Kluyveromyces lactis: one gene and its partners. The protein of the gene in region 3 purifies or fractionates together with the protein of the main gene of each other region. This does not show direct contact. Links are inferred from orthologs where the notes say so. Each region holds a gene or a part of one and is shown on either strand. Other genes may lie near its edges.

What was found.
Region 1: the proteins of YRA1 (region 3) and THO2 purify together in Saccharomyces cerevisiae (affinity purification with mass spectrometry; 4 studies listed by BioGRID, with this or other methods). This does not show direct contact. The link is inferred for Kluyveromyces lactis from reciprocal best matches to the Saccharomyces cerevisiae genes YRA1 and THO2.
Region 2: the proteins of YRA1 (region 3) and MLP2 purify together in Saccharomyces cerevisiae (affinity purification with mass spectrometry; 3 studies listed by BioGRID, with this or other methods). This does not show direct contact. The link is inferred for Kluyveromyces lactis from reciprocal best matches to the Saccharomyces cerevisiae genes YRA1 and MLP1.
Region 4: the proteins of YRA1 (region 3) and KLLA0_D05016g purify together in Saccharomyces cerevisiae (affinity purification with mass spectrometry; 3 studies listed by BioGRID, with this or other methods). This does not show direct contact. The link is inferred for Kluyveromyces lactis from reciprocal best matches to the Saccharomyces cerevisiae genes YRA1 and HRB1.

Annotation. Positions count from the first base shown.
Region 1 is NC_006037.1:1,000,295-1,004,905, reverse strand, and holds the start of THO2 (Tho2p), read left to right. Parts: upstream 1-1,425; coding exon 1,426-4,611. Other genes in the region: KLLA0_A11616g (uncharacterized protein), read left to right, coding at 10-651; U2 snRNP complex subunit YSF3, read right to left, coding at 791-1,051, 1,128-1,130. UniProt on the Saccharomyces cerevisiae protein: Component the THO subcomplex of the TREX complex, which operates in coupling transcription elongation to mRNA export. The THO complex is recruited to transcribed genes and moves along the gene with the elongating polymerase during transcription.
Region 2 is NC_006037.1:55,365-59,909, reverse strand, and holds the start of MLP2 (Mlp2p), read left to right. Parts: upstream 1-1,359; coding exon 1,360-4,545. Other genes in the region: RPL40A (ubiquitin-60S ribosomal protein L40 fusion protein), read right to left, coding at 1-183, 723-730. UniProt on the Saccharomyces cerevisiae protein: Together with the closely related MLP2, involved in the structural and functional organization of perinuclear chromatin. Together with MLP2, associates with the nuclear pore complex and form filamentous structures along the nuclear periphery.
Region 3 is NC_006041.1:255,160-259,461, reverse strand, and holds YRA1 (RNA-binding protein YRA1), read right to left. Parts: upstream 2,504-4,302; coding exon 2,249-2,503; intron 1,013-2,248; coding exon 599-1,012; downstream 1-598. Other genes in the region: COI1 (Coi1p), read left to right, coding at 1-166; AFI1 (Afi1p), read left to right, coding at 3,345-4,302. UniProt on the Saccharomyces cerevisiae protein: RNA-binding RNA annealing protein. May have a role in pre-mRNA metabolism. Component the TREX complex, which operates in coupling transcription elongation to mRNA export.
Region 4 is NC_006040.1:430,706-434,711, reverse strand, and holds KLLA0_D05016g (uncharacterized protein), read left to right. Parts: upstream 1-1,358; coding exon 1,359-1,370; intron 1,371-1,800; coding exon 1,801-3,120; downstream 3,121-4,006. Other genes in the region: KLLA0_D05038g (Zn(II)2Cys6 transcription factor), read right to left, coding at 1-1,059; BUD3 (Bud3p), read right to left, coding at 3,231-4,006. UniProt on the Saccharomyces cerevisiae protein: Binds to intron-containing transcripts and is involved in quality control for the export of spliced mRNAs from the nucleus. Binds to pre-mRNAs until splicing is completed or until faulty mRNAs are degraded.

The DNA of each region.
Region 1 (4,611 bases), on a different chromosome or scaffold from region 3:
ATTGTAAATATGGCATCGCAGCATCGGAATGGTAATTCGAAGTCCAGGAATGGGGGAGGAAAAGGTGTAGGGAAAGGTTCTAACTCGTTGTTTGGGCGTGTTGGAAATTCTAGTGGCCAAAATCCCGTATTACAGAAGAAGCAGACTTTGGAAAGGGCAGAGAAAGCAAAGGCAGAAAAGGCCAAAGCAAAGACTGGATTGACATTTCTTGGTGGTAAACTTGTGTTAGCTGCTGATTTGCAGGGCAATAAAATGAAAGCCAGCTCAGATAAGAATAAGCAACAAATTCAATCGAACAAACGTGTCAATTTGCTTCATAATTTGAAGAATAGAGCTAGATCTAAGCAACGAAACAATAGTGATAACAGTAATAATAAGAAGTTGGTTATTTCATTGAAAGAGAGTTTGAAATGTTTAAAGATACGAAATTTGCCGATAGGAACGAACCCTTCTAATTTACAAAGAGTGTTACAACAGATGGGCAACTGCAAAGTTACAGACTTGAAAGTTATCGATCTTCCTACTGGTTCAGCCCACGCTGAGGTGTTTGCTTCCAACATGGATTTAGAAACGTTACACAAGAGGTTCAACCAGGCCGAAATTGATGGCAGAAGAATCTTAACAGAGATTTCTTCGCAGCCAGAACTTTAATTAAATATATTACAATCTCTGAAAGCGTTTTCGATAGCTTTTTAACTTCGATACACCTAACATAAAATACACGTTAAATACCGCATGTACCAACAACAAAAATATTGCAAATACACTTGTGTAATATCTATAATAATCATTAATCGTTTCCAATATCCCTTTTGATTGGTTTTGGCGGGTTTGCAAGTTTTCGTAACAGTGTTAGTTGGGCATCCCGTTTGGAAGGGAATCCTGACGCCAATGTGTAATACTCTAAAAGGTTCTGATGAATAGCCAAGCTGGCATATGTGTCCTTGCTTATCGTATTAGACCACTCTTCCTTTGTTGTTCTAGCACTCCCTACCCCTGGATGTTTCTTCCGCATATCTTCATATATCAGTTCCTCTTTCACTTTGTTACTCTGCAGTTAAGTCAGTAGTTAGTATCATTGGTCAGCATAGGATATTACACATAAATTGGAAAAAAAAAGTACATACCATTGTTTATAACTTCCTATTGTTCTCACTGATACCATTAACTTAGTCAAATACCTAGTATACTGACTGCTGTGACTCTTTTCATCCCTGTTTGAGATATCAACTCTATTCAAGTTACCATTCTCACCATGCCGACATTTTTCAAATATCGAATTTGAATATGTTAAAAATCTGTGAAAGATATAACACATACATTGCGCAACATCAACCTCATGATTGTAGCGTCCTGGTGACGGAAGAGCAATAGGGGTATTTGCATTTGCCAATTGAATTAGGCACACGGTAAATTGTTTTCATCATGGCATTGTACGACTGTTTGAATAATTTGGCTTCCAATCTTCCAAATGATGAACAAGTTACTTATTTTGACAAGACGTTTTTCGATGAACCAAGTCGTGGTGTAGAAACAATCATATCACAGTACCTTTCCTTAGATGCCAGTTCTCAGAAATCTGATTATGTGTATGATTTGTTTCTGGAAGCTTTTTCCTTAATCAATGGGAAATCTGATGAATCGGAGTTTTTAAATTTGGATGCTATCAGCAAAATAGTTAGTGCGTTATGCAACGAGGATAGATATAACTTCGAGCTATTTGTTTCGTTAGCGAATTCATACCCTTGGGAGGCGAACAATGGGTTTAATGATTTAGTTGGGTGTGCCAAGGATCTTCAGTTAGAGGTGTGTATTTATTTGAACGACCAAATTCTTTCAAAGGGTACAGAAAGATGGTCCAAAGATTTTTGGTCCGCATTCAAAAAGAGCATCGTTCCCGAGTTCTTCCTTTTGCAAAAACCAAATTTATTCCTAGAATGCTCTACTGGTTTCAGTCAACTGATAACGTTGTTGAATATCGCTTTTGAAGATGTTGACAAATTCCAATCTGTTCAATATTACAGTAAACAGTTGAAATATATTATGGGGAAATATAAGCTAGACCCAATCAGGTGCATGGATATACTATTACAAGTGTCTTCATATCATGTCGTACACCATTTTGAGTTTATTCTTGAGCTTTTGCAATCTACAGACTACTGGCCATCTTCGAATTTGGCCAACTGCTCACGGTATGAACAATTGAACCAAGGTGGTAATCCGATAGCTACCAGGTTGATAGTAAATTACCTTAATAATGGTAAACCAGATGCAAATTACATCGATTTAGTGGTTCATCTAATTAAAGGCGGGTTTGTCTCTTTTGCTGCTATATTCGATTGCCTGACCCCGTACGATACTGACATTGATGAGTTTGTAGAGAGGAAGCTGACGACATTGGAAAAGGAATCCTTGGAGGGATCTCTTAATCCGTTAGCTATGGCCTCCGTCCTTACTGACGAAGACAATACCATTTCGAAAAATACGGAAGGTGATAAAACCAATACAGCGGCAGATACTGGGATATCGGAGAAGGAAAAAGAAGCACTACTTCGAGAAACTGTTGAAAAATCACCAAAATGGAAACTAGTAGAGAGGTTACTTGTCAATGGGCACTTTGTTCCAGGATTGTATGCTCTATTCAAATATCCTCGGTTCTTTGCCGTGAACGATAGTCTCGTGAAATCTCTTCTCGAGGTGTTTGACAACATGATCGAACCCTTGACTGTAAAGTTGAGCCCTTCAGCTATTTCAGAACATTGTCGACCTCTTTTGAAGTTATCTCACAATGGAATTCCTACTAAACAAGATCGGTTGATCAGGCAATATAGGTCTTTGGGGAAAGACTACAAATACATTCAAGGGACAGAATTTGTATTTTACAATAAAGACTGGCGACAGAATTTGACTCCAATTGAAACGATAGAGAATCTCGTTCATTATTCACATCTAATATTTGAAAGCATCGGTCCACGTATTATTCTTAATGCTAAACTTGTTGAACATATATGCGCCATAGCTGAAAAAAATATTCTAGATAACCTAGAAGATGAAACGGTTATGGATTTATGGATTAATTACTGCAGAAAGTTTATGCTACCAGTATTAGGACTAGTCGAAGATGAGCAGTTTGTTGCAAATGCAATTTATTCGGTTATGAAGCACTTCCCATTCGAAAGAAGATACTTCATGTACCATGAATTAAGTACAAAGATTGCTGAAGACAACATACATGTCAGGTTACAATTTAATAAGTACCAAAAGCGGATAAGGTCACTTTTAAAATCTTTGAGTATTGACAACATTGCATTTAAGTGCAGGGATGTTGCTAACTTCGTGTCCTGCAATCCTCTTTCAACTCTAGACTCTATCCTAAAACAAATAGAAAATTATGATAAAGTCTCTGAACTAATCGTCATAAGTGCCGAATTTTTCTCAGAATTCGCTTACGATGTTTTACAGTATACGTTATTAATTAAGCTCACATCGGAAAGGCCAACTTTACAAGATGATGGTATTACTCCCAAAATGTGGATTAGCAGATTATCTTTGTTCATTGCGGGTCTTGCTAAAGGCTGTTCTAAAATGAGTATGTCCAACATATTCGTGTTTTTGGTCAAAAATCTTTACAAGGATCCATCGCTTACCCTGGCTATTTTGAAGGAGTTAATCTCCCAAGTTGCAGGAATACAAACGTTGTATGATGTAAATTGGAACACTTTGCTAATGATAAGCTCAGGATCCTTTTTAAAACAAATCGGTAGAAATCTTATCTTGGATTTCAGAGATAAGTATTATCAACCTTCAAAAACTATTGTCAATTACTTGTTAGAGCTTAATGCAGTGTCAGAAATGATTATCATGCTCACAAATTTGAATCTTAAGATTCAAACCGATAATAACGTTCATTATAAAATCTTATCAGCGAAATGCGATGAATCCAATGCATTACTTTGGTCATTTATTGAAATGTTAAAGCACATTTTGACTGAAGAACAATTCAAAGCCAATATTCTACCTTTCAACGTTTTAATTGAGAAATATCAATTTCCTGTTGAGTGGGCGTTTGATATCTGGAGGCATTATTTCGATACAAAGCTGGCGAGATCTGAAAATGATGCTGATGAAATCAACGAAATTCTATATGAGACTGATTTCAAAGGCATCAATTTTGAAAATATTGATAAACGTCTATTCATTGATTTCTGGCGGTTATCCTTATATGATATTAGATTAGAAGAAGATTTGTACACGAAGCAGAAAATCATTTACGAAGACAAGAGAAAGGCTGCTAAAGTTTTGAAAGAGAGGCATAGTTTATTAAGCACAATACAGACAGTCAAATTTGATCTATCTCAGCATGCAAGCGTTTTTGAAAAGACAAAGAACATGATTAAAATGAACAAGGAGACATGGTTCCCCGAATTCTCCCGTGAGCGTATTACCTCATTTTTGCAACACTGCGTTGTTCCTAGACTCATTTTTTCACCATTTGATGCCATATTTTGCGCAACTTTCATTACTGAAACATTTAATATCGAAGAAGTAATTGATATCTTAGGGCAATTCACATCCTCAAACATTTTAGGAACCTTACTATTTTCTTCTACG
Region 2 (4,545 bases), on a different chromosome or scaffold from region 3:
TCCTTTTGGATGTTGTAGTCAGACAAGGTTCTACCATCTTCCAATTGCTTACCAGCAAAGATCAATCTTTGTTGGTCTGGTGGGATACCTTCCTTGTCTTGAATCTTAGACTTGACATTGTCAATGGTGTCGGAAGATTCGACTTCCAAAGTGATGGTCTTACCAGTCAAGGTCTTGACGAAACTGTTTTCAAAAAGATATGATTTGTTAGTAAAAGTTTGAAACTCGATCAGAACAAAGTTCTTAAGGCAATCTTATTGGGACGATTCCTAGAATTAGTGAACGTTCAAGTTAATTTTGCTAGATTAGTAAAGCTTAATAAAAAACCAAAAAAAATTCCCTCTGTAGGTATGAATTGTTGTGCATTTGATAGTTAGGAGGTGATAGGTCCCATTAAACTGCTTCCTTGTATCCTTATTCATTCTGCAAAGCGTACTTGCTTTCGTTTGAAGAAATCGTGACATATATCTCACTCAACAGTTTAGACCGCGTACTCACACTCTCCGAAATGAAACGCTCAAGTTCTCACAGGATAGCGACTATCATGATATATGTTACACCAAACACAGTAAATCCTTGTCATTTTCATTAGTTGTTATCCGAGTTCGTCTTGTTGTTTTTTAGCTAATGTGCTTTCGTCCCATTTCAAAGTAGCATAAACCGTCTTGAATCACCAAGAAACCCCAAAATAAGATGCCTTTTGCTTATCATATTGTGCATACATTTGCATTTTTGAATCTTGTCCTTTCCTGATCTTTTTGATAGTAATCAACAACTAAGTACAGCTATCTTAAGTGCGTATGATTAAATGATATAATCCAAAATACTTTGAGTATGAATTCTTGCTTGCTTTCCTCAATCTGGGTTTGGTACATAGAAAGTTGGTGAACCTGAGGAATCGACAACGAGCAAAAACGAAGTGATTTCTGCAATTAGAAAATAAAAATACCGTTTTGAGGAATATATGCATTTTTAATTGTCAAGCCCCGAAATTTATACACCCAGACACACTGTTGAATAGTGCACGGATGTTGTTGCAAACCGTCCCAACTTGGAACGTAGAATTTTACTGGTACCGGTTACCCTGATTGTTAGTTTAGATACGACTTCTGTATTTCGTTCTGCAGTCAGTTCGTGGTATCTGGTCGTTATTTTGAATTTCACCGAATTGGACCTAATATTGAAATTGAACAAAAATTACCTGTCAAGAACAAAGCCTATGTGCATTGTATATGCTCATGTATACCTGCAGAAATTTTTAGTATACTTCTAATTGAATATCATAGCGATTAGCTTGAACACTAGGTAAAAGTAGCGTCTTATAGATTGCTATTCCATTGTTGTGTTGTGGAGTTGAGAATGTCCGTAGAACCCATTGCCTCTAGGGTCGCAGACTTTCTACAAGTCGACCAGCAACTGATACAAGACATTAATAATGATGTTTTAGGTAGGATTGAGGAGAAGTTGGAAGATCTTCGGAAACAAAAATCTGAAAACCTAAGAATAACTGCTACCTTGGATCAATTAAAATCTCAATCAGAGAACAAACTAGAATCATTCAAAATTCACATCTCTCAACTAGCCAAGGCATTGGAAGATGGGAAGGATGAGCGCTTACACTTTGAAGAAGAGAAAAGGCGTCTAATTGAAGGAAATTCACAAGTGACCAAAAGAATCATAGAATTGGAACAAGAAATAGAAGTAGAGAGGCAACAAAAAGAACTTGCTGACGCTTCTAAGCAAGATATTGCAGAGTCACTAAACGAAAAAATTGAAGAACTCAGTTCTACCAAAGCTAAATTGAATGAAGCACAGGGAGCGAATAAGGAACTTAGACAAAAAGTCGTCAATACTGAAACTGAGCTACAAACTCAGCAGGCCTTAGAGCTACGTTCGAAAAGCGAGATTTTAAGGATGGAACAAGAAATCACATTATTGAGAGAAAACAATGACTGGTTGACCAATCAGTTAAATACCAAGACCGTACAACTCAATGAGTTTAGAGAAAGCACAATTAGTGAATTACAAGATTCTCAGTTAAAGGTATCGAATATGGAATCAGAGTTGGAAATAGCTCGAACCAGTAATCAGAAACTAAAACAATCGGTACACAGTTTACATGAACAACTGGAGCAAAAACTTTCCGAGAACAAAGAAATTAAAGATGAGTACAATTTCTCTAAACAAGAGCTTACGAAAGAGATGTCTTTAAAGCAGAGAATGATTGATGCTCTAGAGAAACATATGGAATCATTGAAGAAAGAAATGGATGCTACAAAGAATAACATGGACTCATCATATTTCACCGAAAAAGAAAGAGACGAGCTCATTGAAGAGCTCAATGCGGTCAAATATCGTTTAGACGCATCTGAATCTAACTGCATAAAACTTAAGGAGACAATCGATGAATTAACATCCAACATAAAATTAGAAGACTCCGAAGTTGGTAATACCACTGCGTCTTCAGAAAAATCGGTTTCTGTCATACCTAAGTTATATGGTGATTTGGGAATGCTCAAAAAACAGCTGGTTATTGAGAAAAGACAAAAAGACGAGTTAAAAATGCAAGTGGAAGCATTCGTTGTTGAATTAGAGCATAAAATCCCTGTTCTCAATTCCTTCAAAGAGAGAAGTGAAATGCTTGAAAGAGAGTTAAATGAGGTTACTATTTTGTTAGAGTCAACTGGCAAAGACCGTGATCAAAAGTCGTCACAACTTGATTATTTGAAAGCTACTGTGAAAAGCTATGAGACTCAAATAGCCTCCCTATCTAAGCAACGTGTTGACCTTGCCCATCAGATACAGTACTTACTCGTGAACGAATCTATTAAGTCAGAGGATGGCGGACCATTATCCGCTGAAGAATTGCAATTTGTCAAAAATCTAACCAACTCTCAAGAAATAACAAAGACCTCTGACACTCAAGGCATTATAACCGATCGACTAGTAGAATTTAGATCAGTAGTTGAGTTGCAGCAGAAAAACTCCGAACTTCTTTCTACAATTCGCAATCTTGCTGATGAATTAGAACGCAGGGAAGCTGAAAACAAATCTCAAATCCAGGTATTAGAGGATGAAACGGTGAGAGAGGCAAAAGAAACCATTCTTACACTTCATGATCATGCACAGAACCTTGAAAACCAACTAGTCATTCTATCAAAGGAGAGGGACGCATACAAGGCATTGTCAGTAAATGCTAGCTCTGGCACAAACACACCTAAGGCCATTACTTACCCTTCTCCTGATAATGACGATAAAGTGAAGGATCTCGAAACAAGACTCACCGCTGTCATTCAAGAAGCAGAGAATAATGCCAAGGAATGGTCATCAGAAAACAGCAACCTGCGTAAGAAATTATATGAAATATCACTTAATTTCGAATCTGAGAAAACTTCACGTACTCTTGCAGAAGATAGGTTAAATCTATTACAATCAACTTTAGAGCTTTCCAAACGCCAATGTGAGGAGCTACAAAAAAGATCATCTGATCTACAAGATATTTTAACAAAACAGGACAAACGTACACAGGAGACTGTAGATTCCTTAATCAAAACGAAATCCACTTTGTCATCTATACAATCGGAACTATCCATCTTGAAGTCTGAAAAACAGTTTATGGCAAAGGTTCAAAAGGAACTGAAGGCAGAGAACGAAAGATTTTCCAAAGAAAGTGTCGAATACAAGGTGTTAATTGCGCAACTTCAGACACTCCAACGTGAGAGAGAAATGTTACTCAAGGAAACTCAGAATTCTTATAAGGAAAAGCTTAGAAAATTGGAAATTGAGTTGTCTGGTTCACTCGAACGCCTTGAAGAAATTGAAAAAAACACCACAGGAATTGCTAGCAATAAAGAGCATCAATATAATTGGTTTCAAGAAAAGATTGATAAGTTAACTAGTGAGGCAGCTCAACAGAAAACGACCTTAGAAGAAAAAGAAGCTCAACTTCAGAAAATGCAATCCACTATCAATGAACAATCCGCAAAACTCAAGGAGGCCGAGGCACGGGCACAATCATATACGATGTTAAGTAATGTCGATGATGCTCAAAACCTAGTTGAGACTTTGAGACAGGAATTGGAAAAGGTTAACTTGCAACTTTCTGATTCATATTCACAAATAGAGCATCATAAAACTCTGGCGGAACAGTCCGTGCAATCCGTTAATGAAGTAAGCCAGGCCTTTGAAGAGGCCCAGAAGGAATCTCAGAAGACAATAATCACTCTAGAAAACGAAAGAAATCAATTACAGAGTACTGTCAATATTCTCAACGATCAGGTGAAAGACCTGAATAACGAAATTTTCCATCAAAAATCAGAATACCAAACTGAGAGGAACGCAACAATGGAAGAAATCAGTAAGCTTCAGATGGTGAAAGAATCTGTGGATCGAACTAAGGCTGACTACGAAGAAAAAATTGCAATGATTCAGAAAGATCTAGAAATGCAAACGCAATATGCAAATGAGAGTCAACGGAGCTACGAACTTGAATTGCAAAAGCATGCAGATGTCTCTAAAACTATTACGTCCCTAAGAACTGAGGCG
Region 3 (4,302 bases):
TTATTACGCAAACCCTGCTCTGGTGAAACCAGGGTTCCCCATGAAGAAAGAAGAAGAAACCACGGAAATAAAAAGGAAAAGTGAATTTGAAGGGGCCGGTTTATCCTACAATACAAGAAAGCGTGGTGATAGATTAGGGTTCTTGGATAGAAGAAGTAACGAATGATTAATAAGCAAGATTTTAATTCTGCAAGGCAATACACGAACCTACCCATCACACTTATTTATTAACAACACACACAAACACTGCAATGACTAAATGAAACAATCTAGAAATATATCCTGTTCTTTACTGAAAGATTCCTCATGTAAATAGTGCTTAAAGAAAGTGAAATAAAATACAAACTATTGATATCAATATTATAATAAAGTTTAGCTAGGTAAGAAAAGATAGGCCGAGCACATAAGAAAGATACGGATTTTTTTGATTGAGAAACCACGCAGTCACACCGGTTGAAATTGAGGAATATAAAACAAACAACAAATGAACTGAACTTCTAGGATGTCTAACGAATAGATTCGAAAGCAGAGACAATCCGTTCGTTATTAAGGAAGACTTTATAATTTCTCAGTCCAGTAATTTCAAGAACGCAATATCTTATTTGGATTCTTCAAAATAGTCAGCCATTTCCTTGTCTAAGTCTTCCAAAGACTTCTTTTCTGGCTTAGCTCTTTTCTTTTGCTTAGCAGCAATGGCTTTCTTGTTTGGACCGGCTGGTTTCTTCTTAGGTTGAGGCTTTGTTGGAGCTGCCTTCTTGTTTGGCGCGGCAGCCTGAGCATTCTGTACAGGGCGGATTCTGTCCAATAATGTCTTTCTGCTTGGATCGACAATCAACGTCAATCTCAATTTGGATTTACCACCATCAATTGGTGCGTTGTGGAATTTCTTTACAGCTAAGTTAGCTTGTTCTGCGTTCTTAAAGGTAATAGTGGCCATACCAGTGGAGTTACCCCTTTCGTTGTAACTCAACAAAGCTTTTTGGACACCACCGACTTGATGGTTGAAAAATTCCTAGTAATAATAAGGGAGCAAAATTTTTGTTAGTGAAACTATTCATAGATAACTGAAAACAGCGGAGTCTTCAATGAATAGTCCTGTAGGAAATCATTCATGTTTACAATTCATCATACATGTACGACCCGGTCAATTCTGTCACGATATGAAGTTAACTCTTAAACAGTAAAATATACCACAAATGGGTTTCATTAGGTTTCGATTTGAAGGTAGGATCTAACATGACAACCAACAAAAAGTAAGTATACTATAACTTTTCTCTTTTCTATTTTTTTTCTTGGAGAGTAAATCTGGAGTCAGTGATGAGATCTCAACCAGACAAGATAGAACATGTTCATAGCAGAATGACAAATGAAAATCGATTTCAAATCCAGCATACCCATCTCGATTTATTACATTCATTGAAACTTGCTTTTCAGTGGCGTTTCAATTTTTGCCAATTTTTTTGAAGTTGTCAAACACGACGACCTTGCTAAAAATGTCGCACTATCTTGAAGATTGAGGCATCAAGCTAAACACACACCAAGGAAGAGGTCAAACTTAATTGTTCCTACAAGGTGTACACCAAGTAATCTTCTTCAAATTCCCAGTTCTTTGCAAAGAGTTAGAAAAAAGAGAATAATACACTGGGCATCATTAAAAAATAGATGCATTGCCAAATGTAATAAATGGTAACAGAAACTCCAGTGACACATAATGTCACAAGAATAGAAGATATGACGAGAAAAAATAGATATACTTCATCTTTTCGGCATTTCCCAATCGTGATTCACTACCGTTTCTCCATCAAATAAAATGTCGTAAATAAACGAAGTTCAGTGCATAATTTTGATGAAAAGTTCTGTCAACTTAGAGGAGAAAAACGGAAAGAAATCACAAAGGAAGGCTTGCTGAAAAGCGAAACCCAGCCAATTGGATAGCTAATTTCGTTTTGTTATATTTCATTAGCTCAATAAAAACTAACTCTGAAATAAATTATTCACACATCAATATCAGACCTCAAAAAAGGTATCGATCGACCGTTTCTTCTTAATCAAATACACGGGAATGTATGATCGTATAGTAAACATAAGGATGGAATTCCACAGGATATATCCGTTGTAAACTTAAATTAACCGCAAGTCTTATTGCAGTTTGATCCGATTTGTTTTCGCAATCAGTACAGTAGCATCTCGACAGTCCTTTTCATTAGAAAAGAACCTACTAAGAGGCCATGGCTAAAATGGGACATACTTTAACAGCGTCTTGGTTAATGTCTCTTGGCAAACCCTCGACATTAACTCTAGTAGAAATAGGAGCTCTTAGCAAAGCTGGCACTAGGGCAGCAGCAGAAGCAGCCTTCTTTGGAACTCTAGAAGGACCGGCACCTGTTCTGGTACGGCTCTTGTTGACTTGCTTAGAAACCTTCTTTGGCCCGGCCTTGTTGTTTCTTCTGGCATGCTTGGCTGAGCCAATAATTTCATCTAATGATTGATCTAGAGCAGACATTGCTTATGAGAGTGTAAAAAAAAGAATCTGATGGGTAGCTGATTCGAAGGAAATAACTTATAAAGTTGCTTGCCTTATGAAGTAGAAACAAAGAGAAATTTGAAGAACAACTTTCATGGAAAAAGGGAAAAAAATTCCAATGGGCAAAAATCTATGGCTCCTTTTATACAAAAAAAATCAAATATCAAACTTTTTGTCCAATTCTTTTCAAGAAAATCAAAACCAGCACGATCAACAAAAGAGGGTAACGATTGTCATTTTCTAAGATCTGCTGCATATGTAACGGTGTACTTACTTCATTCCTGACATGATAAAGATTTTTGTGAATAACAGTCATTTCAAAGACTAAAGATAATGCTCCATAATTTCGTCGAGGGGACTCATTTGTTTCCAACAAACATCGTTTAGCTTTATTTCGTGAATTGTAAGGCCGCAACAACTGAAAAGTAAAATCCGTTGATATATAAGATAGACAGCTATTCGATCAATCTTATGTTCAAATGGATCGCTTCCGCAGATAGACCCAAGTAGGCTGTGGCGGGAATCTTACAACGCTTAGTATCCAAACATTCTTCTATGCCTTCCTGTCATAAGCGAATAGAAGCCGAATTGAATCCATTTACAGTCCGGGTAATTTCATGATTATTTCACTGTTAGCGATATTATTTGGTTCATTTTATTTGATCGGTTCAAAAAGAAAGACGATGATGGGTCAAAATCGTGCTATTTTACAGCGAAATGATACAGACGTCTCACTGGCAAGTTAAATCTCCGAACGACGGTCAGGTGGTAAACGGACTGACTCTGTAATTAAAGAGGAAAGACCGCGCGTTCACCAGTTATGAAACACTCTTCCAAGGTAAAAACAGGATTGAACTTTCACCTACGACAATCTCAAAATGAACACACACACTCTAACCCCAATGTTCAATTTATAATAGCGGCAGAATTTGATAACAAATCTGGGCCGATAATAAAGCATCAATATCCAAAGACAATCCCTGGTTTTAAAACTATTGGGAGTGATTCCACTTGTTCTCATTTGGCCAGTTTGATGATACCGAATAGTGTGGAGAACCATCCAGGTAAACCAGATTTCACTGTTTTTGTCTTATACAAGAATCAAAACGTTTACCAGTTGTTTCCTGTATCCAAAAATAAGACTAAAGGTACTGACTTGGATTCCTCACTGATAATTGAAGAGGAAGACTTTGAAGAAGAACAAGAAAATGGACTGCGAAGTGGTAAGATTGGATCAATTAGAGATGATAGGCATTTAGAGGAAACTGAGCCACCATTATTTTTCTTAAGTGTCGTGAACACGTTTTTAGATAATTCAAATGATCGCGGTGCTTATATAAAAGCCATTGCACTGGGTACTACTATGACAAACTTTTACACATTTAAACCATTGTTAACAATGGTGCTTGATCACTACATGACATCGAATAACAACGATATTAAAATACTTATAGACTGTTTTGACATGATTAACAGTCTTGATCTCTCTTTGGTCATAAGATTCCATTCCAATGTTGTACTACAAAATATTCTAAACTCTATCAATGACGAAGAAATTACATCCAAAATATTTGATGCAAACGAAAACTCTTTGCCCAATATACTTAGGGTTAATGAGCTGCCCAAAAAAGACAAGTTCGGAAATGAGATTCAATTTAAAAACAGGATTCTTGAATATAAGTTCTCTACTTTCCGTCCCAAAGTTCTACCTGCTTATTTTACGAGGATTCCTTTGCAAATTGATCTAATAAAATATGATGCCATAAAAATAGATACGA
Region 4 (4,006 bases), on a different chromosome or scaffold from region 3:
ATGCAAAAGTGTGCTCCCAGTGCTTCCAGTCACCATTTCTCTGTTGTCGTTGTATTTCATAAGTAGATCCTTAGCTCCTCGTAGATGGAATTTCCATTCTTGAGTTCCAAACGTTGAACTATCCAATGTCAACAATAGCACACATAAATTCAAAGAGTCTATCTGTGAAAACCCCAATGATTCTTGGGATAGAGATTCGAATTCTTGGTACAATTGCTGTAGTGCTTTTCTCAAGAAATGTTTCCTAATTATATTATCATGCTCTTTCCCGTAAACATTGTAGACATATTTAGCACTGATTGACACCATCGAACTCTGTAAGTAAGACTTTTCTCGGGCGTGTTTTTTATTTGCTCTTATTACGTGCTGGAATAAGATATGGTTACAAATGTTAGAATCCGGTGATTGTGCTAGCGGCATCAACCAGTATGATACATTGTCATAAAATATCTTCAAATATGATAATTCCGATTTTGATACCTCTCCTAACATTCCTTCGATCTCTTCCCATCTGTTGAACACGGGCCCGCCTATGTCATCATTGATAGAACTGATACTTTTCTGTTGGCCTTGGTTTGCGGTCACGGCGTCTGTTTCGGGCAGCTTGGAGAATAAATCATTAGCAAAGAGAAGCGCATCGTTCAATAGCGCATTCAAATCATCTTCGTCATTACCAATCGCATTGGTTGCAGCATGCTCAAAATCCACGTCACGTTCATTGTTCGAGAGTTTTCTAGTATCAGATGATGAATGATGTTCCATGTTTTTCCTATGCAGATCGCCATCTTCCTTATTCTTTCTCTTTTTATCCGAGACTGAGGTCACTTTAGAGTTTACTCGAGATTTATTGGGTCCCCCAGAAACAACAAATTGAAACTCTTTGGTCTTATAAACACATTCAAGAGACAAATGCGTGCACTGCCAACACATAGGCTTCGTCTCATCACATTTAACCTTCTTTCTCTTACATTCAAGGCATCCATTTTTGGAATACTTCCTCTTCTTCTTGGCAGGTTCGGTCACATTAGAGACTGCAGTGTCCGGAGTAGTGTCTGCCATCTCAATAATATATTATATTATACCAACACCAACCACCTGGACGTAATATGCCCTTTTACAGGTCTTATACTCTCCCTTCTTGCCACGCTTTAACTTGCATTGAGTCACATGACATGCGGCATTCTTTATATCATGCACGTCTCTTTTTATTCATTAACACATCTAAACCTCGAAAAAAATTCAGAAGGAATTAAATCTGTGAAAACATTCAGCACTGAAAAGAACTTCGTTATGACATTGCTAAACGTCGTGAAATAATTTCAAGACTGCTGCTAGACGGTTGTGGCTGGTAGTTAAATATGAGTTCATACGTATGTTGTATTTTTGAAAAGGAATTGGTGTGAAATGGCTGTTTAGACTGCTACACAATGATCATACCATATCTATAGTATTATCACCGACAGTTGTTGCTCAATGAATTATCAAAGAACAGATATCCAAGCTGGTAAGGTTTATTGATATTATGCATCTATTGACACTGGGTATGCGATGGTTTAATTCTGCTTGTTTTTTGGCTAAGATTGTGGCAGGTGTCGCTATTATAAGTGCTTTTAGTTTCCAGTATACCTAAGGAAAACTACTGCGCAGGAAACATACTAGTCATTGGCTGTAATACATCTTTGCTGCAAATCTAAAGATTAGTTCATTTCTAGGCTTCTGCTTCAAGCGTTAACATGTGATACTAACTGGTTACTATATGAGTTGCCATTAATTACTTTTTTCTGGCCTTTATTAATATAGTCAAGAGAGAGATCGAGATCTAGATCACCTGTAGCAAGATCAGGAAACGAAGATCCACGCAGAGGCGGTTATCCTGATCGTAGCTATAGGGATGATAGAAGAGGAAACTACAGCGGAGATAACAGAAGATCTGAAGGATATAACAGGGACACTTATTCAAGAGATAGGGACGGAGACAGATATTCGGGTGGAAGATCTGTAAATCGTGGATACCGTTCTGTTGGAAGGGACAATGGGTACGAGAATCAAGGTTATAACAGTGGTAGATATGGCCGTGGTAGATCCTCGAGATATGATCGAGGAGGAGCTGCTACTGCTGCTGCTGCCGCCGCTAAAGGAGACTATGGACCGAAATTAGCGAGAGAGCTCGATTCTCCATATGATGAAAAAGTAAACAGAAACTATGCCAACAGTATCTTCATCGGTAACCTTACATATAATACTACACCAGAGGATTTGAAGGAATATTTTGGTAAGATCGGTGAAGTTCGCAGAGCAGATATTATTACTTCTAGAGGTCATCACAGGGGCATGGGTACTGTGGAATTCAATAACAGTACTGACGTCGATACGGCCATTAGAGATTGTGATGGTGCCTTTTTGAACGGACGTGCCATTTTTGTCAGGCAAGATAATCCACCTCCTGCTGAAATCTCGAGAACTGGAAATAATAACGGCCCACCGCCTCCTCCAAAACGTGCTCACGATGAAGGTTTCGAAGTTTTCGTGGCACAGCTACCATTCTCTGTTAATTGGCAAGAATTAAAAGATATGTTCAAACCGTGCGGTGATGTTTTGCATGCTGATGTTGTCACTGATCGTGACGGTAAGTCAAGAGGTTTTGGTACGGTCTATATGGCTACCAAAGAACAACAAAATGATGCTATTCGTCATTGGACTGGTACAGAGTATAAGGGCCGTGTATTAGATGTTAAAGAAGGTAAAGGAACTTCTACACGTACTGCAGCCACTGGTGCCGATACTTACATCCCTCGTCAACCACGTAATGAACCACCAGCAACTCTTAAACCAAAACCACTAGATATCGATCCTCTGGCTATAACTACGGGTGGTGATAGAAACTCTGTAATCTTCTGCGAAAATATGCCATCTTCTACCACTGAATCTGATTTATATGACCTATTTGGCAGTGTTGCACCGGTTATAATAACGAAATTACTGTTGAATCCTGAAGGTCATTTCACAAGGAACTCATATTGTCAATTTGAAACACCAGAGGACGCAGATATATGTATCAGCAAATTGGACAAATACTCCTATGGAGATCATGAGTTAAAGGTGACTTATGCCAGATTCTAATTCTAACTTCTAAATAATCATGTTTTATATTTTGATATCTAGCGGGCATTACTTGAGGTAATATCACTAATTAATAACCTATTCAAACTTCTACGTTTTCTCCATAGGGACTAAGCGCTGAACTGCAATCGCGTTGGTTTTGTTTCATCATCTTCTGCTAAAACGCCACCTAAGTAGTCATAGGAAGAATCTCTTAGGAAAGAGGGTTCATCATGTTTGCCGTTGTTTTCGTCGGTCAAAGCACCGAAAGCAGCAGCCTTAGGAGCAGCTTTTTTTGAAGCTGGTGGTTGTAAACTCTTGAAAAATGTGTCTGATTTATTACTGATGTCAAACATATCCAATTTGCTTGGAGAAACCCAGATTGGCTCATCGTCGTTTTCAACTGCTGTTGGGTGTACTTTATCGTGAGCTGAAAAAAAGGATTCGTTGGATTTGGTGAAATTGTCGAATTTGTAGAATACAGGCTCTGCTACCTTCCGAGGTAGAACATTTTTATTTTCAAAAACATCGCCAGTATCCATAGTAGACTCTCTAGTGGAAGTGTTATTGGTATTGTCAAATGACATGTGGAAGAAACTGAACTCTAAATCATCTAATAATGGTGCAGGTTCATCTTGGCTATTGGTCGTTTCCGTCGGTAATTTTATGGTTGATTCTGGTGGAACTAAGTGATCCACATTTGTTTCTTCATGGCCGTGTTCACTAGGTTTGGTTTCTTCTGTTTGTGGAGTATAAAAAGGACTTTCCGGTAAATCTTCCTGCGAGTGAAATGTTAGCTCAACAAGTCTTGCATTTTTGCTCATATCTTCCGTGTAGAAACTTGGAGGATCATCGTTCAGGTTCGAGGATCTTGAAGTTCTTTTCATAGTTAACTCATTTCGAGTTA